Arabidopsis thaliana: one gene and its partner. The protein of the gene in region 1 interacts with the protein of each later gene in a pairwise test. Each region holds a gene or a part of one and is shown on either strand. Other genes may lie near its edges.

Region 1 (15,694 bases):
TTATTATTATTATCTCTTAGAACCTTGTTCGTTCATGAAAATCTATTATCAACAAAACTGAATTGAAAATAAAAAGAATGATTCAAGATGAAAGTAAATTCACTAAAAGAAATTTACCAAAAAAAAAAAGTATACTTGTTAAAAAAAGAGATTGAAAAAGACATCTTCACTATATATGTTGGGTTCGAATAAATTCGCTGGCCTTTTCTCTTAAGCCACATGGTATGAGAATTGTTTTGTAAAATTTGTTGTCATCTTGTTATTGCCAATGCATCATGATCGTAGAGATGTAGGCTAAAGAAACTTTTTTAAAGTGTGATTTTACACAGCAGCTGGTGGTTACTGCTTAGCCATAAAATTATGTGTTGATATTGACATAAGTGGAATGTCGAAAACATGTTTATTCATACACGTATATTGTTGAAAGAAGTGTTAAACACATCATACGTTTAAAGTAGACAAATCTAGAAATATATAACAAAAGAGAATTTGTTTGTACATTTAAAAAGCCTTAGCTCTTTTTGAGCAAAATATGTAATATTATAATTTCAACACTTTTGAGTGTGTTTACTAAAACTAACAACCTTTATGAAGCAATTGGGATGGGTTTGTGTGATCTAAAATTGAGGTAGGATCGTGGGACCAGGAGAACATGAGATGCATCGAAGGCAAAGTCCAAAGACACTACGTCACTTTGAGTGGATTGTGTACGTGAGGTTGTACGAACCATCATTTCACGTTACATATGTTGCAACGCTGCGTAATCTGTCCCCACCATCCAACTTATTTCTAATTCTTTTTCATAATTATATTTGTATCTAAACTAAGTAGAATACCTACATATTGAAAAGAAATATTACTTGCTAGGGCCTAGGGATAAACGTTAAAGAGAAATATTACTATAGAGAAAAACCCTTTAGTTTTGAACACAATTTCTATGTGTAAACATGCGTGATTGTTATGTAGGCAGATGTGCACTAAGCACTTAAACAGAAAAAGAGACAAGTTTTGAACATGAGTTATGAGTAAAACATATAATTATAAAGTTTTGAACATGAGTTATGAGTAAAAACATATCATTATAAAGTTTTGAGAGCATCTATGAGTAAAAACAGACTAAATTAAATAGAACATATATATGGACAATATAGCAAGTAAAATCTCTCGGACTGACGAAATAGATGTAACTATACTACCAATGCTTGCGATTCAAACCGTCAAAAGTGAAAAATACTGTGAAATAACAAGTCAACTTCTATAAATGAAAATTAATATATATTGTAGACGGTTTATATATACGTTTGGATCATATCGATTCACTAATAAAAAAGTAACAAGTGTTATTCCACAAGTTGCATTTTTCATTTGTCTATAAGAACTTTATTGATCTTAAATAACGTTTATGCTTTTTCTTACACATATATGGAACCGAATTCAACAAAAACTTTCAAATAGATTTGTTTTATATGAACACAATTATGTATATTGATTGTCCATTTATGAAGAAAAGAATAATCTTATGCTTCACACCGTTGACAAAAAAAGATAAACGTATGTCATTAACCCTCTCTTTTTCTGGTACATGTCAGAGCAAAGAAAATTTACTAAAAGGTTATTTTGTTTTTCCTTGTTTGTCTATAAATCTACTGAAAGCTTTAAATGCAATTTTATTATTTTCAAGAATCGGTCTTTTTACACTTCCGCGATACTAGCTAAAGGAATGTACACGTGTCAGGATATTATTGTAGCATCTGATTTTTACCATTGATGGTAACTAAAGTTAGTAACAGAACCATCAGGTCCATCACCGTAAAATATGACTAGCACAGTAGCACCTTTACCAGAAAATAACGCCGTTAGCTGTTTTCATCAAGTCAACAACAACCATTTTAACGGCAGTTTAGATATATTTTAATTTTTTTTAACCATATATCATTGGAAGTAAAAAGTTGTCATACTAAAATATATATCTTTTAAGATCTCAAGGTAATTAAAAAAATAATCAAAGACGCTTAAAATCTGAAATTTTCAATAAAGTAATCATAAATTATTTTATGATTTAAATTTAGGTTTATCATAATAATCTTGAAAGAAATTAAATAATATAATAGTTTTAAGGAAATCTATTTATTTGTTTTTTGATAAATTACATATCTATAGTAAATTAATGATATTGAATGGTGTAGTTGGTTTCTCATAGGTAGAATTAAGACTTTCTCTTTTGTATTAATAAAATTTTATTTGACAACAAACAGAAGAAACCTTTTAATAAATTGAGAGAGATATACTATAGGACATGATATGACAAAACTGTCCTACTCAGTGAACTTCACTAACAGAGCTCAAATTTGAAATCTCAATGAATTAATATTTAATGACATAACAAGTCAAAGTGATGATATTAAATCTTTCCTCCTTGACAAGACGATAATACTTCAATTAACAAAAAAAAAAAAAAAAAGAGATGATAATTTTTCCAGAATAAAATATTTTCGACTTGGACTGGGAATAAAAAAAATGGGGTGACCTAAACCGACGTCGCATAGTTACGAGAGGCATATAAATAGAGAGCCACCAAATAGCCTAACGTAGTCCACCTTCACTTGCTCTCTTTTTTCCGAAGAATCTGGTTCGTTTCTCTTTGAATTATCTCTTTCTCTGTTCTTCTTCTTTTTCTAAAGTCTCGAATATATCTTCATTATCATTACTTTATTTGCTTCGTTCTTCCGCAGTTTTGTGCAAAGTTTTAACGATTTTTTGGTTTTGAACGAAGGCACAGAGAGAAGATGGCGAGTGGCCTCGAGGATATCGTGAACGAGAATGTTGATTTGGTATGGATTTCTTCTTTTTACTCTGTATATATTTTTTTGTTTCGTTTGTTTAACTTGTTTAATGAATATACGAGAGGAAAGTTTAGTTTGGTTTTGTTTTTTACTTAACGATTCGATCAAATTAGGGTTGTACACAAATCTCGTTACATCATCGTTGAACTATTGACTTCATGTTTTAGCATGAGATTTTTATTGTTTGATTTCGATGAGAAAAGAATCCATGAAAAAGTGTTAATATTATCATAATTATTTCAGTTTTTCTGCTTTTTTTTCAAAATTACTTTTTCTTTATTTATTTTTTTATTAGATTTTGCAACTGCACTAATTTAAAACAATTTGCAGTCACCAGAAATTTAGTTACAATTATGTAAAAGTTGTTTCCAAATAAAGCAAAAGTAATTACATTAGTAGTACTCTCTACTTTCACATGATCTATCTTAATGAGTATACTTTGAGATTTCTTAGAGAAGTTTTAGTCAATTCTGTTTTCAATTACTACGTTTTTGGATTTTTCATACTCATGGAATATCGCCTTATCAATCGGTTAATCACTTCCCTAGATAAAACTAAACTTCAATCTTCACCTGATTTTCTGGACTCAATTTAAGATACCATGTTATATAGACAGATTTGCCCCTATCAATACATCTTCCGTTACAATGGGCCTTATTGGGCCTTTAGGCTTATTATATAAGCGAATTAAAGTACAAGGCCTTGTGGTCCCACCTTAGATTCTCTGACATCGACAGCTACAGAACATTCCATAATTTTGGTCATCTAATATTTTTATGCTTTGATAAATAATTATAATCTTGATTATCTATTAATTTGCATGCTTATATTTTTTTCTTTTTTTTTGCTTTTTTTAGTACTGTAAAAGGTTAACATTTGTATCTGTAAAAAAGATGTACTACAGATAAAAACATACTTGGTTGTTTATTGGTGTAGGAGATACATAATTATTGAACACCATTTGAATTAGTCTAACATCGTGTTCATATTATATTGCAGGAGAAAATACCTATTGAGGAAGTGTTCCAGCAGTTGAAATGCAGCAGAGAAGGTTTATCTGGAGCAGAAGGAGAAAACAGACTCCAGATCTTTGGCCCCAACAAACTCGAGGAGAAGAAGGTATAGTTTGGTTTTAACCATTATCAAAGTCATCATACATGAGCTAAGTCACTAACTATGTAATGGTGGTTTCAATAAATAGGAAAGCAAGTTACTCAAGTTCTTGGGTTTTATGTGGAACCCTCTCTCTTGGGTCATGGAAGCAGCTGCAATCATGGCTATTGCCTTGGCTAATGGCGGTGGAAAGCCACCGGATTGGCAAGATTTTGTCGGTATCGTTTGTCTTTTGGTTATCAATTCAACTATCAGTTTTGTCGAAGAAAACAATGCTGGAAATGCTGCTGCTGCTCTTATGGCTGGTCTTGCTCCCAAAACTAAGGTCCCTCTTTATAAACTCCCTTCAAATACTCCTCTTTGCATTAGCATTTACGTGTATGTTTACTGTATACTTGGCATACGAATTACGCGAGTTTAACTATGTTACATAATTAGATTCTTAGCACCTAGTAGTTGTCTAACTTGAAAATGTTTGGCATAAGTAATTGGTTTACATATAATTTCATTACAAGCTTTTAATAATATTTGTTTTGTTATGACCAGGTTCTAAGAGATGGCAAATGGTCAGAGCAAGAAGCTTCTATTCTTGTTCCTGGAGATATTGTGAGCATCAAGCTTGGTGACATCATTCCTGCTGATGCACGTCTTCTTGAAGGTGATCCTTTAAAAGTCGACCAATCTGCTTTGACCGGAGAATCTCTTCCCGCAACGAAAGGTCCAGGGGAAGAAGTTTTCTCCGGTTCTACCTGCAAGCAAGGTGAGATTGAAGCGGTTGTGATAGCCACTGGAGTCCATACTTTCTTCGGTAAAGCGGCTCATCTAGTCGACAGCACAAACCAAGTTGGACATTTCCAGAAAGTTCTTACGGCGATTGGAAACTTCTGCATATGTTCCATAGCTGTTGGTATTGCGATTGAGATCGTTGTCATGTATCCGATCCAGCGCAGACACTACAGAGACGGAATCGACAATCTTCTTGTTCTTTTGATTGGTGGTATCCCCATTGCAATGCCTACTGTCTTGTCTGTCACAATGGCTATTGGATCTCACAAGTTGTCTCAACAAGGAGCTATCACAAAACGAATGACCGCCATTGAAGAAATGGCTGGTATGGATGTTCTGTGCAGCGATAAAACCGGGACTCTCACGCTAAACAAGCTTAGTGTTGACAAGAATCTTATTGAGGTTTATTGTAAAGGCGTTGAGAAAGATGAAGTTTTGCTTTTTGCTGCTAGAGCTTCAAGAGTTGAGAACCAAGATGCTATTGATGCTGCTATGGTTGGAATGCTCGCTGATCCAAAAGAGGTAATATATATAACTCTGTTTTTTCCTCTGTTTTAAAATTCTGTTTTTTCCTCTGTTTTGTTTCTTGAAGAAAATGTTCTGTTCTGTTTCTCATTGTTTGTTTCTTTCAGGCAAGAGCTGGAATCAGAGAGATTCACTTCCTACCATTCAATCCAGTTGATAAGCGAACCGCTTTGACGTTTATCGACAGCAACGGAAACTGGCACCGAGTAAGCAAAGGAGCTCCCGAGCAGGTAACTAAAACTGATTTTGGTTCTTAAGCTAAGTTAAGTGTTGTGACTTCTTAAAAAAACTGATTCTTTGATGATTTCAGATTCTTGATCTCTGTAACGCGAGAGCTGATCTGAGGAAGAGAGTCCACTCTACAATCGATAAGTACGCTGAGCGTGGACTTAGGTCATTAGCTGTTTCAAGACAGGTGAGAAGAAATCTTACATTTTGTAACAAGTTATAGGAAGAAGGAAAAAGAGAGAGAGAGTTTAATGTAAATTTTGTGTGTCTATGTTTCAGACTGTACCAGAGAAAACAAAAGAAAGCTCTGGTAGTCCATGGGAATTTGTTGGTGTGTTGCCTCTGTTTGATCCTCCAAGACATGATAGTGCCGAAACCATTAGAAGAGCTCTAGACCTCGGTGTCAATGTCAAGATGATTACTGGTTTATATCTAAACATTACTCTTCGCTATAGCGAAAACACCGAATTTCTTACTAATGTTTCCAATGGTTTTATAGGTGATCAACTTGCTATTGCGAAAGAGACAGGACGTAGACTTGGAATGGGATCAAACATGTACCCATCCTCTTCTTTACTCGGTAAACACAAAGACGAAGCCATGGCTCACATTCCTGTTGAGGATTTGATTGAGAAAGCTGATGGCTTTGCTGGAGTCTTCCCAGGTTTGTTTAAGAGCCATTTTTGTTTCCACAAACACAAACTTGCTCTTCTCTCTGTAACATTTGGTCTCTTTTTTTTCTTTACCAAATTCATTCAGAGCACAAATACGAAATTGTGAAGAAGTTGCAAGAAAGGAAGCATATCTGTGGTATGACTGGAGATGGAGTGAATGACGCTCCAGCATTGAAGAAAGCGGATATAGGTATCGCTGTGGCGGATGCAACTGACGCTGCACGAGGTGCTTCTGATATTGTCCTCACCGAGCCAGGTCTCAGTGTGATCATCAGCGCGGTTCTAACCAGTAGAGCCATCTTCCAGAGAATGAAGAACTACACAGTGAGTGTTCTCTTAATCTTAAACCATAACCTTTTTAGAATCTTTACACCATGATAACTTGTTCTCATGGTGTTTTTAAATGTTCCTTTAAACAGATATATGCAGTCTCAATTACCATTCGTATAGTGGTAAGTAATCAATCTTGTATGTATTCTTGAATATCATCAAATAATCTCTTTTTCTATATGATTTCTCACTTTGTGCCTTTTCACAGTTTGGGTTTATGCTCATTGCTCTAATATGGAAGTTCGACTTTTCACCATTCATGGTTTTGATCATTGCTATATTAAACGATGGTGAGTTTTTTTCTTCTCTTTAAAAGCTCTCTCTAAATTTTGGCTCTAATCGACTAACACATCATTAACTTACGCAACAGGAACCATCATGACTATCTCAAAGGACAGAGTCAAGCCTTCTCCAACACCAGATAGCTGGAAACTCAAAGAAATCTTCGCAACCGGCGTTGTTCTTGGAGGCTACATGGCTATAATGACTGTTGTTTTCTTCTGGGCCGCATACAAAACCGATTTCTTCCCGGTATGTAACATATAAACAACCTCTCTTTAGATTCCTTGTCACACAAGCATTAACTTTGTTTGTTTCCTATAGAGAACATTCCACGTGAGAGACTTGAGAGGCAGTGAACATGAGATGATGTCTGCTTTATACTTACAAGTCAGTATTGTGAGCCAAGCTCTTATATTCGTCACTCGATCTAGAAGCTGGTCTTTTACAGAACGACCTGGATATTTCTTGCTAATTGCTTTCTGGGTAGCACAATTGGTAAGCATTGTATCTTCTTGATTGATTATAAACTCTCTTGAATGATTGATTCATAAACTTTGACCTTGTAGATTGCAACGGCTATTGCGGTTTACGGTAATTGGGAATTTGCAAGAATCAAAGGAATAGGATGGGGATGGGCTGGAGTAATCTGGCTTTACAGTATTGTCTTCTACTTTCCATTAGACATAATGAAATTCGCAATCCGTTACATACTAGCCGGAACAGCCTGGAAGAATATCATTGACAACAGGGTACGTTTTGCTTTCTTCTTAGTTCTTCTTCTGAAATGTGATTTTAAGACTTAAACAAAATCTCTCTGTGTCTTTGAAAAAACAGACTGCGTTTACCACTAAGCAAAACTATGGAATAGAGGAGAGGGAAGCACAATGGGCTCATGCACAAAGGACTTTACACGGTCTTCAGAACACTGAAACAGCCAACGTTGTCCCGGAGAGAGGTGGTTACAGAGAACTGTCTGAGATTGCAAATCAAGCCAAGAGACGAGCTGAGATCGCAAGGTAAATGATTTGTAAAAAGTAATTTCGGTTTCTTGTGAGAGAAGTTAACGTTAGGGTTTTTGTTTACAGGCTTAGGGAACTTCATACGCTTAAAGGACATGTAGAGTCAGTGGTGAAGCTAAAGGGACTAGACATTGAGACAGCTGGTCACTACACCGTTTAATAAAGATTTAACAAGAAGATGATTAAGGAAGAAGAAGATCCTTTTGTTTAAGAGATGATAATGATGATGATTTTATAACAAGAGAATAAGGTTTTTTTTCTGTGTATGTTAAGTTCCTCTAAACTCCTGGGGTTTTTCTTCCTTCCTTATTCATGGTTTTAGACTTTAATTATAACCATGTGTTTTTGTTTCCCCTCTCTTGAATAAAAAAGAGAAGATACTAATATCATAGGTTTAATACGTTTATGTTTTATAAAAGTTCAATAGATATTGTTTTTGGATATTATGTGAACATAACAATATTTATAAATTCACCTTTCAATTTTCTTATGAGATGATATCATCTTTACTACTTAAAATATCTTCTAATTAAACCAAAAGCAGATTTAGGTCCGGTTAGATGAATAACCGGTTCGATTAATTTCGTCAGACCGATTTGATCCGTGGATATCATTAATCCGTGGAATACATGTGTGTTCTTGAGTAGGCCACTAGTTATAATCCACGTGGCAAGCATTTTATCACAAACCCAGAGCTACAAAAACAAAACCAAGAAGACGAGAAGGATCTTTAACAGAGAAAAAAGAGCTTTAGACCAAATCACCAGAAACAAAACAAAAATGTATTTCGCCGCCATAGCTTCTTCACGACAAAGCTTTTTGTCAAACAATTTCAGTTTCCAACACAGTTTTAAACCCAAATCCAATGTTAACCTCACTCGTCCTAATTCAATCTGTTGTAAATCTTCACACCACGACGACGAAACTGATTCTTCTCGGTAATTTTTATTTACCTTTAGAAAATTTTTTTCCGATTCTAAACTCGGGTTTGGTCTTATTCAATCTTTTATTTATCTATTGATTAGGAAAAATGAAAATCAGCTGGCGAAGTTGGCAATCGCGACGCTAGCGGTTGGCGTTTTGGCTTTGGGAAGTGTTGGGGATGCGTTTGCGGCCAAAAGCGGTGGAAGAATCGGCGGTCAAGCGTTTCGGTCTTCAGCTCCTCGTCCTCCTCCCAGAATTAACAATCGATCAAGGTAAAATTTTTTACTTGAAGCTCTAATCTCGATTTTAATTATTTAATATGTATATGATTAAAATACTGGCGAAAAAAGTATATATTTAAATTAAGACCTTAATTGAGATTTCTTACAAGAGACTCCATGTATGGGCTTTTAGCAGCCTCATATCCACATTAAAGCCCATTAGTAAACTTTAAGCCTCTTATAATTTTCTATTACACTTTATATTTTGAACCCCATAATTACAATTCGAATCCAAGATACCCCAACGACCAACACTAATAACTTGATTCAATGCATTAGGCTTTTCTGTTTGCATTATATAATCACGACTTTAGTCTTAGTAGTTAGTACCTTTGCATTCTAAACGCAGCTTTGTTTTCGCAGGACCAACATCTACGTGAATCCTCAGGTTGCACCACCTTTGATCGGTGGCTATGGATATGGTTACGGAGGTTACGGATGGTCACCGTTTTCCTTTTTTGCCCCTGGTCCTGCGGTGGCAGTAGGTGTTGGCGGTGGCTTTGACCTCCTACTTCTCTTCATGTTTTTTGGAGCCGCTTCAGCCGTCGCTAGAAACTTTTTCCGATCAAGAAATGATGAAGATGACGAAGACGACTATTAGAGGAGAAAACGGAGAGAGGCTTATGTAACAATAGTCATACATACGATTTTGTGTAAAAAAATATGATGGAAGAAGACGGATATATGTGGAAATCTTGAAATAAGTAACTAAAGACCCATCTTAAAGTTAATAGAGGCAATTTGAAAACACCTCCAAATACTAAATTTATATACAAATTTTCTCTGTTTTTCCTTCATTCTTTATATTTTAGGTTCTAGTGTATGACCTCATTGGTCTCCGAAAGCAAGTGAAAATAAATTCTTTAAGCAACCAAATATAAAGAAAACATTGGTATATTTTGTCAATGGTTTATCAGTGTTAACGAAGAAGAATAATTAGACCTAGCTAAAAGTGAAATCAGTAAATCTCGTAAATAATAATAACGATAAATCAGATACAAAAAGAAAATAAAAAAATCAAGAAGAAGACGAAGAAGAAAAAAGAAAGAGTCAGTGAATTAACAAAAATCAAGAAGAGGTTCGGTTAATACTAAGTCCTTGAAAGAGCCAATGAGGTCTCTTCTTCTCTCGATCCAACGACGTCGTACTTGAGCTGCTCATAGGCGTGTTTGGTCCGCTACTTTCTTGGTTATTATTGCTGTTATTATATAGATTATTATTGCTCTGATTATTACAATTATCCGATGATGATCTCATTGACGTTGTTGACGAGTAGTCCATGTCCTTGTTCGTTGTCGTGGTCATAGTAGTAGATGAAGAAGACAATCCAATGCTCAATGTCAATTCGAGTTCGCTCTCTTCGATATGATCCGTCGTCGTTTGTGTTGCTCTAACCACATTTTCGAGGTCTATGCCTGAACAACTTCCGGTTCTCTCTCTTGAACCGGGTTGGTCTTTGTTGTTAACAGTCCAATATTGGCTTCTATGTTTGAGTTGAGTCATCATCATTTTCTGTGTATTATATACTCTATGTAGCTCTCGTACCTGCGATTATCACTTTGTTATGCTATGGATAATTATTAATTTAAAGCTAATTTGCTATGGATAACCTGAATCGGTCCAAGAATCTAAACTAAAGTAAAAGACAACCGATTGAAAAAAACTAACTAAATCATTCATTTCTTAATTCGTTAAACTGATATATCATCCTTTTCAAAAACCGACAAGCTGCTTAAAATGTAATTAGGCTCGAAGGAAAGCATAAATTTAAATATTTCCTGTTTGAAAGACCAAATCCATATGATGATGAATATATATATATATATATATATGCAAGTATAACGTACCTGTTGCTTAAAAATATCTTCTTGGGCTTGCATTGTATGTCTGATGGATTCAGCATTTTGCTTTTCAAGAAACCTATCCATTGACCTTAAAATAAAAACTCCTTCTTCTTCCTCGTCTGTCAACGTCTCCTTTGACGATTCTTGTCGACCATTAACAACAAATCTGATGAACCCACTATGATCAACACTCTTTAAGCCACTTTGGTTTGTAGTAATTCGCTCAACGATCTTTGTTCCCATGCCTGAAACGTAGTCATATAGTTTCATAACCATTTGATGAGTGATGAAACACATTAGAAAACCCTAACTCTACTTAAATTGTATATGTGAGTGAGTGTTGTGTGTATGTGTATGTATACATGTGAGTATGAAATTGATGGAGTAATCGTCAGAAGCCACTAGTTCGTGAAGTGAGGGGTTTATAGACAAAAGAAGGTTGACTAGTGGGACACACTTTTGAATTTGATTAGATTCTCTATCTCATGGTGTTTTGTCTTAAAGCCAAGTATTTTTTTTTTTTTTAAATCGAATCAAATGTCTTTATGTTCACTAAATCAATGGATAGAACTAGTTAGACCACAAATTGTTGGATTTATGATTTTATTTCTTTATTATTGTTATTAATCATAGAGATGGAAGATGATTAATTATTTTCAATTAGCTAATTAGTCAGATCAAATCGAAGTAGAGCCAAGCATGACAACACTAGACACGGCTTGTTTTAGTAAGATAACATTACAAAGCTTTTCTATTTGAATTTATCCACATTCATAACCAATTCAAAATATCTAAATTATCTCTTGTGTTATAGTAAAATATTGATGTAAAAATACTTAGATAGGATATCTTCTGCAGTAAGCATTCGGAAATAATACTTTATTTTCAAATCAGTGAAATAATTGATGCGGTATAGTACAATAATATCATTTTCTCTACTAAAGTTTAAAATAGAATGATTTGAGTTGTAAAATTGCAAGAAATATAAAATATGTGGTGAAGGTTGGAAAAAAAACAAGTTGTCGATTTTGTTTCCTTTTCTATGGATAAGCATGACTTATTTAGAATTTGAGAATGATTTTTTTTTTGTGGGTTAAAGTTAAAGATATGAGAATGATTAACATAATAAGATAGAGTCATAGAGACATGGAAAAAAGCAACAACAAACACTGGTCGAGCAGTCAATTTAAAGTCAACAAATAGGAATTTTAACTATTTAGTGTAAATTGATGATCATGCGAGGAAGACTGTATCACCTAAGTTTCTTTTCTATTAAAATTGGAATTAATTACATAATGTATATAAATTGGTCACATCGTTCATTATGTTTTCGCATTCATGCGGAGAGGACTATATCACCTAAATTTCCACTTATACTTGTTTCCTATCTTTTTTTCTAAAACATATAAATAAATAAATATAAATATATGTGACACATGTACTTACGTATCTATTATACACACGCTCACAAGTACACAAAGACATGAAAAGATCATGTCTATTTAGCTATAATTGTAGAGAACCAAATTAGATACCCAATAGGATAAGACAAGGACAATAAAATTGGTTAAAAGAAAACGTTCTTTTTTTTTTCCTAATGTATGTGTGTATATTTCTAGACAAAATATCTATTTCGCTATCAAAAAATTATTTTAGCTCTCTCTATACACTTGAGGTATTAAAATTTCAATCAACTGAAAAAAGCCAAATTTGTGACTTTTTTCCTTATACGCAGTCACACACATACATATATAGAAAATATATCTATCTAAATAGAAAGCACCAGCAATATCCGGAATCTGTTTATGGACATATATACACGAATACATATAAAGAAATTCTATATAAATTACCTGAAAAGAAGAGTGGTCAAGCTGTGATTTTCTCCAAAGAAGCTCATTGATCACATGTTCTATACTCATGCCACAAAACTCACTTAAGAGAAATTCTTCAAGACGCACACTTACCTTACTATATGCTTCTTTACCAATTTAGCTTCAAAGCATAATCCAATAGCTGAGAGATTACTATAGGCTTTGTTTTGTCAACAATCAAATATAGGACTAAAGCTGTGTGGAAGAAGAGATAGAGAGATATTCAGAGAGAAAGGAAAGAGAAGGAGAGAGGGATAATGGGGTATTCACAGCTAAGGAAATGCTTAAATTAAAAAGGATTAATAAACAAATAATATATAGTGATGGAAGTTAAATAGTTCTTAAAGGCTAATTTTGACAGGCTGTGATATTTGTGAAGGAAGGAGGCAAGGAAAAAGCTGAGAGGTTTTCATATGCTAAATTAGCTTTGTATGTCCATCTAATTGTTCTCTCTCTAACAGACAGACAAAACAATAGCTAATTTTATATAATTCTTGTGGATTTACTAGTATGTAATATTTTAATCTCTTACTTGAGAGTCCTTTATTCTCTGAGAAGGTGATGTTTTTAAAAAAAAATCATTAATATAAATGCCACTATATGAAATAGTAAAAGAAAAGATCTTAGTATCTTACCATGCTGTAGTATTAACTCAAAAGATTGATATATTAATATGTTCAAGAATTTACATATTAAGTGTTACTGATAAAATATAGAATCCTAAGTCTTATGGAAGTAGATTTTGTATATTATGTATAATTTTTGGTTTATACATATAAGTGGGGGTTTGAAATAATTGGGTGTGTTGATATAATATTAAATCGAGAAGATCAAGAGGATTTGGACAAATGATGAACAATAAAATAATACAGAAAATGTTATTTTTAGCCAATATATTCAAGACAAGTCCTCACTGGACATGATCAAGATATGCATGTAACCATATAAAAAAACAAATAAATATTATATTAACTACCAATTGAAGACAAAGCTTGTATCTTTTGTGTCTGTAAGAAAAAAATGGCGATTTGTTTTCTGTATTACTTTTAGAAATTCAAATGATTCCCTTTTCTATAAATTCTTTTATCAATTTGTATATTTTAACGTACATATTCTCCATCATCGACATCCGTACTGGTATTATCCAACCATTCCCAAAATATCCCATGATTATCATTTTTATCTGACACCAAGTTTAATGAGATAGATCCTCTTATAGCATATCACTTGTTAGCAGTTTTAACAATTATTAAATTTTCTTTTTCATGTCTTCAATTTTTCTGTAACATTAATTGGTTGATATTTTCGGAGATTCTAAAACCTAGATTCATAGTATATGTTAGTCTAGTGTTGAAATGAATTTACCTGACATGTGAATGAATTATTCGTTAAGACTTTTGACATTATTTTGAATTGGTAACACCAAATACGTTTAGGTTGGTAATAAAAAATTTCGTCCACAAAAATATGCACGTAATGTATAATTCAAGACCGATCGTTAACCGATGAAAACCCTTAGATTACCTAATAACAGTGATCTACAAGTCATGCATCACTTAAATAATAATTCCATGGCCAATGACAAAGAGGATCCATAACAAAACCCTAGAAATAGAATTTAAGTTTGTTCATAAGATTCCAAATTAAATAACCCTCTAAAAACAAATTATCAGCACATGATTTAAGTGGTTTTAAGTTTTATAATAGTACTAATTAACTAAAAGATATTTTTTTCTATACTTTAATGTTGCTTGTCTTCTACTTGTTTCGTTTTCTCCTCTCAAAGAAATCTCGTGCTAACATGGGGCTTCGATTACGCACCGACTTATCGTAATTATACTTGAATTATTGGACCTAAATGTGGTTATATTACTCTTTAATTTCACTAATCACTTAAAGATAATTGTATCAAATTAATTCTATCACCAGTTTAACTGCAGGTAATGAATTAGGCACCGACTTATCGTAATTTTTTAGATTTTAGACAGAGAAAAAAAAAAAAAAGGACAGAAAATCTTAGTCTTGATAAAAAGTCTTCTATCATAAAGTACCGAATATGTTGCAACGAAAGAACTTATAATTTTGTCTAAAGTTCATCAATACATAATCTATCGCTAAAACTGTAACGATAGAAATGTGTTTTCAGTGAATCTAATCAATAGATATGGGATAAGTGAAGTATATACTAATATTTTATTTTGGAGTTCATAGATCTCACCAATCTTTCAACTAATTGCCGGTGCATTAAGAAACACATCTCATCGATCGTGGTTTGCTATTACCGTCCTTAAATCCAGATCCCAAAAAGATTAGTGTATGTTAATATTAAACAATCAAACAATTAAGAAAACGATTTAGTATTGATCTGCGGTCAATATTTTTGTAATAGAAAAATGAAATGATTCCTTCCGCGGATGCATGCGTATCTTATTAAATTTGTAATTGTAAGAAAACGATTTAGTCTAATTATTGTAGAGAAAAAAGAGCTGGCTGGATTAGGCGGAGCCATGTGAAACGAGAAGCAAGAAGGAAACGAGAAAGAGTCATTTCGAATAATTAATTATATCCTAAACTCGAAACCAAACATTATATGATATCAAGTACAAGTACTTAGCAGTAATTACCGACACACGATAATTGCTTTGCTTAAATATAATGAAATCAGATTTATTTAGAGTTCCAAAGTTTGAATGTGCAGGTCAACATTTAAATTTCGAATAGTAGTACATCACATGAATTATTGTCTGTTGATTCTGTGTATACATGGTCATATATCGACCCATACTTACAAAGTTTTGTATGTAGATATTTTAATATGCGATTGAGATAAATGTTTTTATACCCTGTATATAATTATTATTATTCTTACCTCCTTTTTAGCTTTTTGGTTTGTTAAATAATACATTTATATAGCTTTACCTAATAATTTTTGATTGTATTACGTGAAATTTAATGAAAAGAGAAAGAATCA
Region 2 (15,142 bases), on another chromosome or scaffold:
GTTAAGTCTTATAATCTTTTATCACCTAAATAAACTCAGTTGTATCCCAAATTTTTGTTGGTAAAGAAAGTATTTAGTTAGACTGGTGGATTACTCATTTTTTAACTTTAGTCGATTATATTGGATAAACTTTTGGATTCCATCCAATCGATATATCCGATTTGTAATGTCGTTTGGCATTTCTATCGAATCAACGGTCCAATATTTTTATCCAACTAGGAGATTACACCAAGTCACCAAACTATAAACTAACTAACAAATGATAAAATCATATCTCTAGTTGGATTGTGAATGTCTTTTGACAAGAAACAAAGAATGTCTTGTTACTCTACATGCGTATGCAGTGTATATATAGATGTACACTCCATGAGGATTATACTTCTTCACTATAATAAAGCATAAAGTTTGAAGTTAAAAAAAAAAAAAAAGATGTACACAAGCAACTACATGAACATATGGTCACATTTACATACTGGTTTTTTTTTTTGGTAAAACTTTACGTAGTGGTTGCTACTTAGAATACTCTCTATAGGCCCTTTGATTTATAAACTCCTATGAGTACGTACGGTAACGAGCATGCAGTGAGAAACAGGGGATCTTAATTTACGCATCACGATCTTTTTCATTGTCGTAAAGTACTGTTGAAGAGGCAGAGGGCTAAAAGACGCAGAGCTTTTGTAACTAATGTCTACGTGGCCCCTAAAGCCACTCTTCTTTATTGCAGAGATTTCATTTTCATTTAGGGCATCATTAGTTTCAGTTTGTACTTTTGCCCTAATTTCATGAAAACGTTTATAATTAGCTTTTATTATTTTGGTTTCCCGGAAATTAATGGGGGAAAATTGGGTTTGGAACATGGTCCCCTCTACGATCCGAGCCTTATATTCAGTCTGTCATATGTTATTCGCTATTTACACCTTACGTTACACTGTTTATATGTTTAGAGCATTTATTGAATTTTTAATTAGTTCATCAACGTACAACATTAGTGTTTGAGCTTTCAATATTCGTCAATCGTCATGACTTGATTGTAAGAAATTTTCCAGATATTATGCCAATTTATATTTAATTTATAGACGAAGGTAGTTTGTATGTTATTTTCAACCTAAGATCTTGTAAATATAAATCGACTAGATTTTAACCCGCGATATAACGCGGGACGATTTATTTTTTAAAGGTAATATATATTAAAACTTGCTAATTTTATTTTTATAAAATATTTATATTTTACAGTTTATAATTGTTATTAAGTAACACTATACCACGAATACATTAGACAATTGTTAAAAAACTGAAGTTTTTAACTCTTATCAAAACAACATATTAATAAAATTTTATAAATATTCTAAATATTGATTAAAATACATCTACCATATAACCCAATTCCAAAATAAAACCCGTTCTGTAATTTCTTTACCCGTCCCTTGATTTTTTTTAAAGTAGTAATTTTTAAAATTTAAGAATTATTTATTATATATATAAGTTTTGAAAATTTTATCATTCTCTAATACATTTATATTTTATACTTTAATTTTATATATAGTAACATTATACATACCACATAACATTTTTAGTTTTATATACTCTTTTCTAAATTAGGATGATTTGATATGTTTAATATTAGTGGTCTTAAAAAAAAAAAGATTAAAGATTTAACCCGTATTGAAACGGTGGATTAATTATATTTTACTTTTTTATTAATGTTGATTCAAAAACCCGTCCCTCCAGATCCGTCTTGCCAAAAAGCCATTTATTTTATTAATATTAATTTTATTTATGATATGACTCTAAATTATAATCTAAACATTTTAGCTAATAACATAGGAGTGCACCATATTTATTTAATAAGGAATGTACCATATGACCCGAATGCACTTTAACCCAAATCCACCTAAAAGTCTTGCAAAAATACTATAAAGATAAGAAAAGATAGTCGGTTTTGATAGGTATAAGATTAGCAAATATATTAGTTAGCTTAAATTAGTTAAAGAATACAAATTGAAAAGGTATATTACACTTTATTCGAATATAGTATAAAAACTTCTATAACACAGAGATTTGATAATTTTTTAATTGTTGAATACTTTTTTTTGTGTTAATTTTTATGTGATTAAGATTTAATTGATTTCGTATATAAAAAATTAAATATGAACTTATTTGTTTATAATTTGGTAACAGATAGATATTTGAATATTCGGTATATTTTGCTTCAGTTTAGAAAATCTTTAATGACCCGTCTTTAGATCCAATAAGCCCTATAATTAAGAGATAAATATTGTCGTTAAATGATTTTGGTAACCTTAATGACGTTATTAAAAAATTTTCTTTTGATTAATTTTTTTTAATGGCATTGTCATGTAATTAATTACAAAAATTAAGGTTAGATTTAAAATGTACTTCCCAAATAATATAGTAGGATATAAATACTAATGATATCTGAGATTTATATAACTATTTTATTGAAATTCTTTAAGAAGAAGTAGAAACTATAAACTACTATGCACATGAATTAAAACTACAGTAGAAACTTTATAAATTAATAATGTTGGGACCATGAAATTTTATCAATTTATAGTGATATTAATTTATCCTATAAATTAATATTAATTTATTGTATAAGTTAATGAATATTAATTTATAGAAATATTTATGTAAAATACAATACTATATTCTTTTTAAAATGTTTCTTAATTTACTTTTCTATATGCTTTGTTGTTTGCATATATAATTCTGTTAGGTTTTTTTTATTTACTTCTTTAATTTATTTTTCGGCAAGATATTATGTCTGTATATCTACGACATTAACGTGAACGTAAACGTAAACATGAAGCTTAATCCAATTTCTCTTTACATAAATCTTAGCCATGCTTTCTCAAATAAAAGATTTTACAAAATCAACTACGATAGATCAAATGCGCAAATAGTTATGTGAGTACAACAGAGATCATACCAGTTATATTTTAAAAAGAGTTGTAATTGTAGCTTGAACAAAAATTTCATATAAAAATTAGTCTTAAGATATATACTTAAGATTTATGATTATTAATTTATAATATTATTGGGACTATAATTTTACATAGGGATTTCAAAAAAATTATTATCTTATTATCTTATCGATTTTGATTAATTTTTACATTGCCCCAATTTAGGACCGACAAAATTTATTAATTTATCGAGTATTAATTTATAGAGTTTATACTATATTATGTACATATATACATGTTACTAACGTAATTAACAAAACAGATTTTATATTAAAATAAACATATATACGTGCAAATTGACAAGACATTTCCATGTTCAAATGATCAAATCCCATGTTATAAATTCTTGTTCTGACTCTTATATAAAACATTCCTCTTGCTCTAACCTCAAAAGTTGTTACTAATCTGGTTGGGCTGTTTCTTAAAGTTAACAAAAATAATAATTAATTACATTAAATACCATAGGAAAGTGAAAATTGTTTATTGAGGATTTCAACTAAATTTCTACTTTTAGTCTTTGTATGTTTTCTTGTGTGAAGAATCTGTGTATGTTAAAATATTTTTAATATGATAAACTATATCTCATTATTTTTGCCAACTACCTATTGAACTAACAAACATACTGTTTTAGTTACAAAGCTCCTTTTGATTTTTGAAACCTAGCTAGGTGAATAAACCTAAAATCAAATCTGCCATATAATTTTCTGTTAAAATCAATACTTTGGTATTATTATAATAATAACTTTTGCTTGGATAATTATTCTAGAGTTTATTGAAATTAAAACAACAATTCTTTCACTATTTAATTTACTTTATTTTATTTCTATGCATGACTTAATTTCATTTTGTTACACCATGATTTAATTTAATACTAATATATAGTGAGAGAGAGGAGAGAGATCGAGAGAGTAAGAGTGGTGCAGAAGGAATTTCATTGTCGAAGAAAGAGCACGCCCTTCGATAACGTAAATGCAATGCAAACAATAAATGAAGTGAATTCATGAGAATTAGTATCATCATCATCAACACACACATCTTCATCATCATCACCTATCTTCATTCAAACACACACACCGTACGTGAAGATGGATGAAACAATCATGACATGCTTATGCATGCATATTTAAATATGAGTGTAAATATACATGCTTTAAAGCCGTTACATATGGTTTAAAAGATGGAATATTACATCATATAAACGGGAAATGTCTCTTGTTGTAAGCTTCTTATTTTGGATAGAAGATGTACCTTTCACCTACAACTGCACCAGTTACATTGGTGGTTGTGACATTTATTACTTCTCTCTATCTCTCTCTCACTGTCGATTTATTGATTATACGGTGTGAGAAAATTGCATAGAATATTCAACGCACATGACGTTCTCTACCTCTTGAAGACTCAAAATCTGTCCTATATATTAGTAATTTGCAACCGTAGAATTGTCTTTCGTATCAATTCTGCATATATTTTTAACCATTTAATAGTGATGTCGTTTTTCCATTCCATTGATACTCCAACCATTTAATAGTGTGATGATGTGAACTACCAATTTAAACCACATACTCTTATAATTTTGCTATAAGAAATATATATCCACTACCACTAGTGATTTTGCAACCAATATGTACACAAAACTAATGATTTATACCAATTAAACGAAGATTTAATACAATTGTTTTTTGGATAAAGTAATTAAAAATTTGGGAAAATGAATAACTCGAAACTTGAAACACAGAATTTTGATTTTACATATTTTAGAAAAGGGTGATTAATATGATTATTATATTACGTCGTGCTCGTGCATGTACATTTTTTCTAAGAATGAATAGGATAAGAAGAGTGAAAGAAAAAGCAAAGTGTTAGTTTCCTAGAAAGTTAGAGAAGAGTTATCATTGCTTCGACTGAGATAAAGATGAAAAAACGAGGAGAGAGATTTGTTTTCACTTCATTAATGATTAATCTCTTTTTATAAGCATTAATACTTAATTTGATTTGGAGGATTCTACTAAATCAATTAAGAGAAAAATGTACATGTTTTCTTTTATTAAAAACTAGTTTGTCCCTTGGCCGTGGGGAAAGAATGTTTGTTTAAAGACTGTGTCAATTCGTTATTTTTAAAAGATCAATACTATTCGAAAACATATTTGTAAGAAATAGGGTTTTAGGTGAGTGTTTTTCCGAAGGACCAAAACGTTCAGAAAATGTTACAAAGTTCTTCTATAAAAAATAAATATATAACACAACTTTAACAAAAAATCAGGGGTCGTTATTTGGAATGATAAATGGTCAAGATCAATTCAACAGAAGACAGATCAATACATGTTGATGGGCTAATATGAAAAGGTGTTTTGTATGCACATACACACACACACACATCTCTTTTATCCAAATCAACAACAACACATCAAAGCTGCTTTTTTTTGCTTTCCTTTTCTTACGGGTAATCATTTTTTCATCGCTCTCTTCTCTCACTCCCCTATCAACCCAACATATAATAATTAATCTTGGCTTCTTGAACTTTTTCATTCTTTGTTTTTGTATCTATAAAACTTGAGACAAGTTTCAAAATCAGACAAGGAAAATCATGTACTATGTAGTAGGGGTTCCCTAATAAGTTCAAAAGCATGCTGACTGTGTCTTAAATCTTAATCGCAGTGTCATAAGATGAGTTTAAGAGTCATAATTATTTTGAGAGTTCTCTATATCTATACTATATATCCAAGCAAGAAAATTAAAACTTGAAAATCCACGAAATTCATGATCACATTGCATAACAAAACATGATTTGACAATTCTAATTTTTAGATAATGTTTTTAACAAAATGATTGATCACTAAACCTTGCATAAAATGATTAATCATCTATATTGTATACCAAAGTTAGAAAAATATAATAGTGGCGGTAATGTAATTTCGGAAACTTAACTCAACCGATAACATTGTTTAGAAGATGCATGGTTTTTGAAATACAAAAAAAAAGAAAGTAAAAGTAATAGAGTATGTACCAAGAAGAAGAAAAAAGGTAGGATACATTGTTAGAAAGTAGAAAGAATGGTGGAAAAGAGAATGATGATGTTAAAAAACGAATAGGGATTTGAGATGAGAAGATCATTCCATATCTCATATACAACACATCGTCGCTTTTCATTGATATAAAAGTGTCATACTCAATAGAGCCCAAACCCTTTTTCTTCTCTCTTTCTATTGATTTTAAGAAAGAGATTCTTATTAGATCCCTAAACCCACGTGTTCTTTCATTATTTCGTTTTCTTTGGTTCTTATTTTTTTCCCTTAATTTGTCTTACATCCGGTAAAATTGTAAATTATTTAAATAAGAATTCTTGAGCTGTTTTTATAAGTTACACCTTCAAAATCAGATTAGCAAAGGCCTCATTCATATAAGTCACTCATGTTCGAAAGGTTTGATTATACGATAAGTTGTGATCAGTCAAAAAAATTGAAAAAGATAATTGTACACTTACACTATAGTCACAAAAACATATAAATGAAGAATTGGTTACTTGGTCAAATCAATTATCGATTACTATATATATATGCTCTCGTAGATCGAAATTCTTTAGTCACATCAGTTGGAAAATTTGACAAAAAAGTAAAGCGAAACAAACCACAGAACAATTCACACTAAACACACAAATGACAAATCGAACTGTGTAAGATATACATAATTACAAATACGGTCAAAAATTCAAAAACGGATATAAAAATACCCCGGACATAAATAATTGTTTGAAAAAAAATTCAAGACTTATGTATATATGTTGCACAAATTAATTATTTATATGGAAAATTGGTTAATTAAATAAAGAACTTATAAATTTCAGTTTCAGAAGTTGAAGAATTTAACCGTAGTTTCTTCTACTAGGACGTGGCATTCCTCTTCTCTGGCTTGATGGCCAGTCTCCAGAGTCATTGTGTTCACTGCTTCTCTCAGGATTATAGTAACCTCTTGAGTCATAACCATTGCCTCCTCCTCTACGTCCATGTCCTCTTTGGTTAGTACCGTTATGGTTGTTTAATCTTGAGAACCTTGAAGTAGAACCAGACCGGTTCAGGTCCAATGGCAATGGCTCAATCCCTTGCAAATCAGGCTCTGGGGTGAACCAAACCGGGCGTTTCGACTCATCCATTTTCCTAAATGTAATTGATATCCTGTTGAATAGAACCGGGAAGAAACATACTCATAAGAGAAAAAATGTTTGTTTATAGAAGAAAATTGATGCAACAATATTTATAACCTTTTTGTAGGAACTGCAGGTACACAGTGCTTAGCTACATCAGCTCCATTTCCATTTAACACCAGAACTGATCTGATAAATATGAAAATATCCAAAAAAAACAGTCTTTGATTTCATACTATTCGACAAGGAATGGCCGAAAGTTTTGAAACTGGGAATTCTTACGAACTTGCTTACCCCACAGGAAGCGGTATTGAGTATGAACCCGAGAAGTCACCAGGACCCTCAACTTTCAGGTTTGAGCCAAAGAGGATATCGCATTCACTGAGGAAAGAGATGGTACAGAAGGGACGGAGAAAGTCGTGGTTGTCGATGTGAGGAGGTATGCAGTCACCTTCATCATAGATGTTCACAATGCAGCTATCGGGCACACAAGTTGGAGGCAGTACATGCCATTTAATCAACTTTCTAATGATTACTTTGAAAAGATGAGGTAGTGGATCCACTTCTTCACGTTGAAGGATACCCGGTGGGTTTCCAGCTCTGTCCTATCAACCCAAAATACAAGAAGGCAAAACTCTTAACTCCTTTTTTAAGAATGAAACAGATTAATGAAAGTATGACAGAGAACGTTACTTACTGGAGCGTAGTTGTAGCAACAGCCAAATTGTATAGTCTCACGTCCTTTTCCTCTCATCCACTTATGTGGAGCAGTAAATGTACGCTCTACAGAGAGAGAACAAGACAAGATTCAGATTAAAAATAGGTCACAAGTTAAGATAAGAGCATTTTCAGATCAAAACAAGAAGTTACTTTTAAGTTCTCCTCTTCGTCCCTTCTCTTGAAGTTGATACACTTGATCAACAATCCGTTTCTGCTCCACTGCGCTAAAAACACCAGTGTGCAACTCAAGTCCATCAAGCACGTTAACAATCTTTCCCTTAACTCTCTCCAAGCAAATAAAGTCTTTCTTTCTCTTCACATTAATCAGCCTGAGATTCTCTCTCTGATCTCTAGACAACTTAGGCTTCTCTGGAGTCTTCATCGAACTCGCATCAAAACCTTTCCTACTCGAATCCCTCTCCTCTTCCTCCTCCTCCTCCTCCTCATCGAACTCATCCTCTTGTGCCATATCAGCCCAACGCATACGAGGGCTTGCTGTTTCAACAACAGCTGGTCTAGATTGCAATACACTACTAAAATCTTCAGGAAAGGAACCAAATACAATTTCACTTCCCTTCCAACTACCTAACGAATGATTATCACAGTCTTCGCCATTTTCCGACTTCTCATCATAATTATCATCCACATTGTTACTAGCTCTTTCTGATCCCATATTTTCCACCACTGAACAAGAACCAGTTTTACACTCTCCATCAACTTTGTCAGTGTTGTTACTACAATGTGCTACACATATGGAAACATGATTTCTCATAAGCAACTCCACATCATAACTTAATTCACAAATTTAGAAACGTACTTGCTACTCTCTCGCCTCCTATTTGTTCCAATTACCAAACCCTAATTTTGTAACCTTATCATTTAGCAGAACATCAATCAAAAAAGCAGAATCAAGTACAATAATGAAGAAAATCTCCGCTTTCTATACAGAATTTCAATATCCATAGAAACCAGAAAGTCTCTCGCCTCTAAGAAAAAGTTGAGAATCGTTACCTGGGTCAAGAGAACGGATTCGATTGGAGAGAAGGTGATTACAATCCTTGCATAGATCTTTAGATAAAAAAGGAAGCCAATTCGTCAGAAACTCCGAAGCGATCTTAAGCTCCGACGGCTGGTACTGCCGGAGAAATGGATCGTTTTCCATGAGATACGCTCGATACAATCCAAATCTAGTACTCTTGTTACAGAAAATTCAAATTTCCTAGTCCACGATTTGAAATCTAGTACTCTTTTGTCAGTGTGGATTCTGTGACGGTACACTTGTAAATTCTAGTATTAACCAAACAAGGGTAATATCGGTATTTAAGCAGCCAATTAAAGCTCTTGGGCCGTTTAAAATTCTTAAAAGCCCATTAATTTCGAAACGCCACCTGTCGAGACATAATTGGGTCAGAGGATTTTAACGGTGGAAGATGAAGAAGCTTATCTTTTTGCAAAATCGTTTCTTCCTTCATTCATCATAGCTTCAAAATCTTAAAAACAACAACAAAAATGAAAAGTCTCCACTTTTTAGCTCCCAATTCAACGATTATCAATCTGAAGCAACAATCTTATACAAAAACCAAGTTCCAGTTGCATCGTAGCAACAGAAGAACTCTATCGATAAACTGCGTAAACAGTGGCGGTGATGAAGAGAAGATTACTCAGCCGTTGGATGGAGTGGAGATAAGATTCAAAAGAGGATCCAGAAGGAAAATGAGGGAAGAGGGTTCAGGAGAAGGAGGAGGACAAAGCGGGAAGAAAAAAGAGACTGTTCAAAAGCCATGGGAAGAGATGACATTGAATGAGAAGGCATTGGAGCTTTATGTTGGAGAGAAAGGTTTGTTGTTTTGGCTAAACAAATTGGCTTACGCGTCGATATACATTGTCATTGGAGGTTGGATTTTTTTCCGGTTTGTTGGACCGGCGTTTAATCTTTATCAACTCGATACACCGCCTCTTGATCCTAAGAACATCTTAAAGGGTTAAGAAATGCTTTGTAGCTGTGTCTGCATTCTCTGTTCCAAAACATTTTGAGGCTTATATATTCAAGTTAGTTTCGAGTAATGTGTAGCCATGTCTCACTAGATTAAGATACACAAGAGAACAACACTCTTCATGAATTTTCAAGATTGTTCTGTTGGAGTTATGTCCTGATCAAGGATATCTCGTGTAGTCTTGCACCTGACATGGAAAAGAAAATATTTTTTTCTTCGGCTTTTTGTTTACCTTAACTCAATGCAAAGAATCAGAATTATTAACTGAAAAAACTAGATTAAAACTCACCTATTGCACTCTGCTCGTGATGCATAATTGTGATTCTTGCAATTTGTACACATCCAGTCGCCATCACGCCATTGTTTCACTCTAAGAAATCAGACAACACAAAGAATTGGGAAGGTTGCAAAAGATCACGCCATTGTTCTAGCGTTTAGAAAACAAGAAAACAATGGAGACCAGAGATCAATACAGTACCCCATTCCAAGTAAAGCAGGTGTTGAGTGTTGTTGTAGAAACGGGAGAGGAAGTTGCCAATTTGAGACCCTTCCTAGGCTCATACCAGGAAAAGATGCATATATCGCTGACTGTGTTTGCATGCTTGTCTGCACAACGAGCCAGAAGAAACAGAGGTTGGTTAAGCAGCAAGTAAAATTGATGAATGTACTAATCAATTTATGCGCTCTAACTAATCCTTACATATCCTTGATTCAGTCTTTTGCTATCCCATTCATGAGCCAAAGCTTCTGATGCTAATCTCTTTGTACCAAGGGCTGCAACCCAAAATAAACTTTCCCATATTAAAACTCGTGAAAGGATTATCAGACACCTTCGGGTTATATAAGATTGCACGCGCATCGGTCTTAGACAAAAACCTTACCTAGTGGAGCTATTTCATTGCACTTTTTGCACTGCAGAGACATACAAAACAGAAATGAGTAAAACAACAAGCCGGAATCTGCAAGTCGGTTTTGCATTGTGAACCCATTTCCTCACCTGTATACGAGAGGAATAATTGTGAAAACCACATCTGCAAATCCAGTCACCACTCCTCCATTCTTTATGAACCGAAGCTTGATTTGTAGCGTTAGAGAATGCGAGTAAAGAACCAGGTTGATCATGTGACTCAGGTCCACGGGTGAAGTAATGGAGATGAGTTTGAAGAGAAGCTCCAGGGATAGCAAGTGCTGACAATGCTGCTACTTCCTTAGATTGCCCACATTTCTTGCACTTTTCTCGTGATGCATAATTGTTGTTAGTACAACCTATTGCCACACCACACCACACCACACACCCAAACGCAAAACGTAGAACGAAGAAGATACACACGCACGCACACCACAACACACCCACCAGCAAATTCCATATACCACATAACACAGAATACACAAAACAGCTCAACCTAGTTATAAGTAAATCCCCTAATTCACAATTCCAATCTAATGAAACATCAAATGTAAAAGGGCATTTGAAAGTTGAAGGATTTGAACTCAGAACTTACGAATTAGATCAATCCTAGTTTTCATTCACAATTCAATCTAATGAATCCGCAAATGGAAAAGGGCATTTGAAAGTTTTAAGGATTTGAACTCAGAACTTACGATTCTGATCAATCCTAGTTTTGCTTCTAGTTCATTAGCACAATCTGGGAAGCTATAAAAGAATTGAATTGAGATAGGAGAAGAAAGAACGAACCAGTGCAGATCCAATCGCCGATACGAGGAAGCCACTTAGAGTTTGGAGAAGTATTATTATCCATGATAAGACGAGGCTGCTTGCATCTGTTACAGAATGATCTAAACGCATAATTCCTGTTTCTGCATCCTAAACATTCCCAGTCTCCTTCTCTTCCGTCTCCCATTTCTTCTTCCCGGAAAAACTCCAGTCTCCGGCGACGACGACTCACTCTTTTTCGTTCAGAGAGGAGAAAGAAAGAGAAAGTTGAAGAAAGCTAAAGCTGGGCCACATTTGTTGTGAAGTGACTAGGCCCATTAGGCCCATTAATTTCTTCAGAGAAAATCTCTTTCGTCCTTCTCTTCGCAGGTGGCAATCGTTACTTACTGACATACATCTTCATCAGTGATTTTTGGGTTTGAAATTTCTCTAGATCGATTTTGGATTTAGATCTCTTTGTTTCTACTGCTTTTCATCGTTGGATCTGCGTTTTGCAAAGGGAGATACAGAAAGGAATAGCTTTGAATTGACAAGGTTTCTCTCTAATCCAACCGAATCTCAAGCTTCCATGGCTCTCAATCTCCGTCAGAAACAGACTGGTAATTATCTCTTTATAATCTCAAGTTTCTGCGATGATTCTTCTATTGCTTCATAGATTGTGTTCGATCTATTAATTTGTTTTTAGGAATCTGGAAATTTAGAGAATTCTGGTTTCTTATGAGTTAATATTGATATTGGATCTTTGATCTCTCTCTCTCTCGGTTTCAGAATGTGTAATCCGGATGTTGAATCTGAACCAACCTTTGAATCCAAGTGGAACTGCGAACGAAGAAGTTTACAAGATCTTGATTTACGATAGGTTTTGTCAGAACATTCTATCTCCATTGACCCATGTCAAGGATCTGCGTAAGCATGGAGTTACACTCTTCTTTCTCATAGACAAAGATCGACAACCTGTTCATGATGTTCCCGCTGTCTACTTTGTTCAACCAACTGAATCCAACCTCCAGAGGATCATAGCCGATGCTTCTAGATCTCTCTACGATACCTTTCATCTGAATTTCTCGTCTTCGATCCCTCGTAAGTTTCTTGAAGAGCTAGCTTCTGGGACTCTTAAATCTGGTTCTGTTGAGAAAGTCTCGAAAGTGCATGATCAGTATCTGGAGTTTGTGACTTTGGAAGATAACTTGTTCTCGCTGGCTCAGCAATCTACCTATGTTCAAATGAATGACCCATCAGCAGGGGAGAAAGAGATTAATGAGATTATCGAAAGGGTCGCTAGTGGTTTGTTTTGTGTGTTGGTAACGCTTGGTGTGGTTCCTGTTATCCGATGCCCTAGTGGTGGACCTGCAGAGATGGTGGCGTCTTTGTTGGATCAGAAACTGAGGGATCATCTTTTGTCCAAGAACAATCTGTTTACTGAAGGTGGCGGTTTCATGAGCTCGTTTCAGCGTCCCCTCTTGTGCATATTTGATAGGAACTTTGAGCTCTCGGTTGGGATTCAGCATGATTTCAGATACCGGCCTCTCGTTCACGATGTTCTCGGGTTAAAGCTCAACCAATTGAAAGTGCAGGGAGAGAAAGGACCACCGAAATCGTTTGAGCTGGACAGTTCGGACCCATTCTGGTCAGCAAACAGTACTCTGGAGTTTCCAGATGTCGCTGTGGAGATCGAAACACAGTTGAACAAGTACAAGAGAGACGTTGAAGAGGTTAACAAGAAAACCGGAGGTGGGAGCGGCGCTGAGTTTGATGGGACAGATCTGATTGGAAACATCCACACCGAGCATCTCATGAACACTGTGAAATCGCTCCCGGAGTTAACTGAGCGAAAGAAAGTGATTGACAAACACACCAATATCGCAACAGCGCTCTTAGGACAGATCAAGGAGAGATCTATTGACGCTTTCACTAAGAAAGAAAGCGACATGATGATGAGGGGCGGAATCGACAGAACTGAACTTATGGCTGCTCTGAAAGGCAAAGGGACAAAGATGGACAAGCTCCGGTTTGCAATCATGTACCTGATCTCCACAGAAACCATAAACCAATCGGAAGTTGAAGCAGTGGAGGCAGCATTGAATGAAGCTGAGGCTGATACAAGTGCGTTTCAGTATGTAAAGAAAATCAAATCGTTAAACGCATCTTTTGCAGCTACATCAGCGAATTCAGCTAGCAGAAGCAACATTGTAGACTGGGCCGAGAAGCTTTACGGACAGTCTATAAGCGCAGTGACTGCAGGAGTCAAGAATCTGTTATCTAGTGATCAACAATTGGCAGTGACTCGAACAGTCGAAGCTTTAACAGAAGGAAAACCAAACCCGGAGATCGATTCTTACCGCTTCCTGGACCCAAGAGCTCCAAAGTCGTCTAGCTCCGGTGGTAGCCATGTAAAAGGACCGTTCAGAGAAGCTATAGTGTTCATGATCGGTGGAGGTAACTATGTTGAGTATGGAAGTTTGCAGGAGTTGACTCAGAGACAGTTAACCGTTAAAAACGTTATTTATGGAGCCACTGAGATTCTTAACGGAGGTGAGTTGGTGGAGCAGCTTGGACTTTTGGGAAAGAAGATGGGATTAGGAGGTCCGGTCGCTTCAACGTCATTGTCTGGTGGTCACTGAGTGTTACTCACTGTTACTTTCTTTTTTCTTTTGGCTTTTGAGAGTTTTTTTTTATTAATCTATAAAATATAAATCCCCAGTGGTGAATTATTTAACAAACAGTTTACAGTCTCGTTATAACATTTTCTACAGAACATTTTAAGGTGTGTTTATAACTCCATTAGTTAAGATTGTTAAATGGTTTTTGTCATAATCTTTGAAAAAGTAAATGACAATTAGCTAGGTTGTCATTAATAATAAAAATAAATAAAAAGGTATGAACAAAAGTCTGAAAAAGAAATTTGTAATCTAACATTACTAATTTCTAATTAACATTTTTTATGCCATTTAGTACAGTGTTTTTCCAAAATAAAATATACTCCTATGATATTTTGCATAAGAATATATTATACTAAAAAAGAGAAGAGGAAAAAAGCAAAAAATCAAAAGAAAAAAAAAAAGTAAAGGAGCAACAAAAGCAAAGCAGGTGGTCCGTTCCCATTTCTCTGTAATTTGTCTTCGTCTCTACCTTCCATCTCTCTCACCCACTCTCCTCGGAAACCACAGCGACGGACGGACGGACGGACGATAAAACTTTTGCCTCTAATTTGCTCCTACAAATCTGGAATCAGCCGGAGCGAATCTCGAAGCTTATGATCTCGACTTGTGAGGATCCTCTTTTCCTTTTCTTTTTCTTTTGTATAATAATAATTATCTCATCCCCGATCGATTTCGATTTTCATATGGTTTCTCGCCAGAAATGATCGATTCTCTCGTTTATTTCAATAGCCTCAGATGATTGAAGATGATAATTCAACAGTTAATAACGCTTCTCTTTTTTTTAGTGGCTTTGTGTTTTGACCAGCCAATCTAAATCACTGGTCACCTTTGTTTTGATCTCTGTTTTGTTGAATTTTTGTTTCAAACTTAAACGAAGCTAAAAGGCTAATGGGTTGGTCTTAATTCTGAATTTTGAGAGAGTTTTAAAATCATCTTTTATGAGCTAAGCCATGTTTGAAGCTAGATCTGCC

The links.
Region 2: the proteins of AT5G57345 (region 1) and AT2G17972 interact in a protein complementation assay, tested with the Arabidopsis thaliana proteins (one large-scale study listed by BioGRID).

Annotation. Positions count from the first base shown.
Region 1 is NC_003076.8:23,223,474-23,239,167, reverse strand, and holds AT5G57345 (uncharacterized protein), read left to right. Parts: upstream 1-8,418; 5' UTR 8,419-8,580; coding exon 8,581-8,738; intron 8,739-8,825; coding exon 8,826-8,996; intron 8,997-9,368; coding exon 9,369-9,606; 3' UTR 9,607-9,877; downstream 9,878-15,694. Other genes in the region: HA3 (H[+]-ATPase 3), read left to right, coding at 2,787-2,831, 3,843-3,962, 4,045-4,281, 4,503-5,264, 5,375-5,497, 5,578-5,682, 5,775-5,919, 5,995-6,159 and 8 more; AT5G57340 (ras guanine nucleotide exchange factor Q-like protein), read right to left, coding at 10,074-10,550, 10,853-11,146.
Region 2 is NC_003071.7:7,812,273-7,827,414, forward strand, and holds AT2G17972 (uncharacterized protein), read left to right. Parts: upstream 1-9,312; 5' UTR 9,313-9,351; coding exon 9,352-9,828; 3' UTR 9,829-9,965; coding exon of another isoform or gene 9,966-10,023; 3' UTR 10,024-10,058; downstream 10,059-15,142. Other genes in the region: AT2G17960 (uncharacterized protein), read right to left, coding at 108-182, 567-857; AT2G17970 (2-oxoglutarate (2OG) and Fe(II)-dependent oxygenase superfamily protein), read right to left, coding at 6,844-7,153, 7,240-7,311, 7,417-7,727, 7,820-7,905, 7,993-8,586, 8,854-9,004; AT2G17975 (zinc finger (Ran-binding) family protein), read right to left, coding at 9,966-10,023, 10,126-10,206, 10,315-10,442, 10,537-10,610, 10,718-10,748, 10,834-11,102, 11,533-11,698; ATSLY1 (Sec1/munc18-like (SM) proteins superfamily), read left to right, coding at 12,080-12,110, 12,280-14,132; AT2G17990 (polyamine-modulated factor 1-binding protein), read left to right, coding at 14,917-14,930.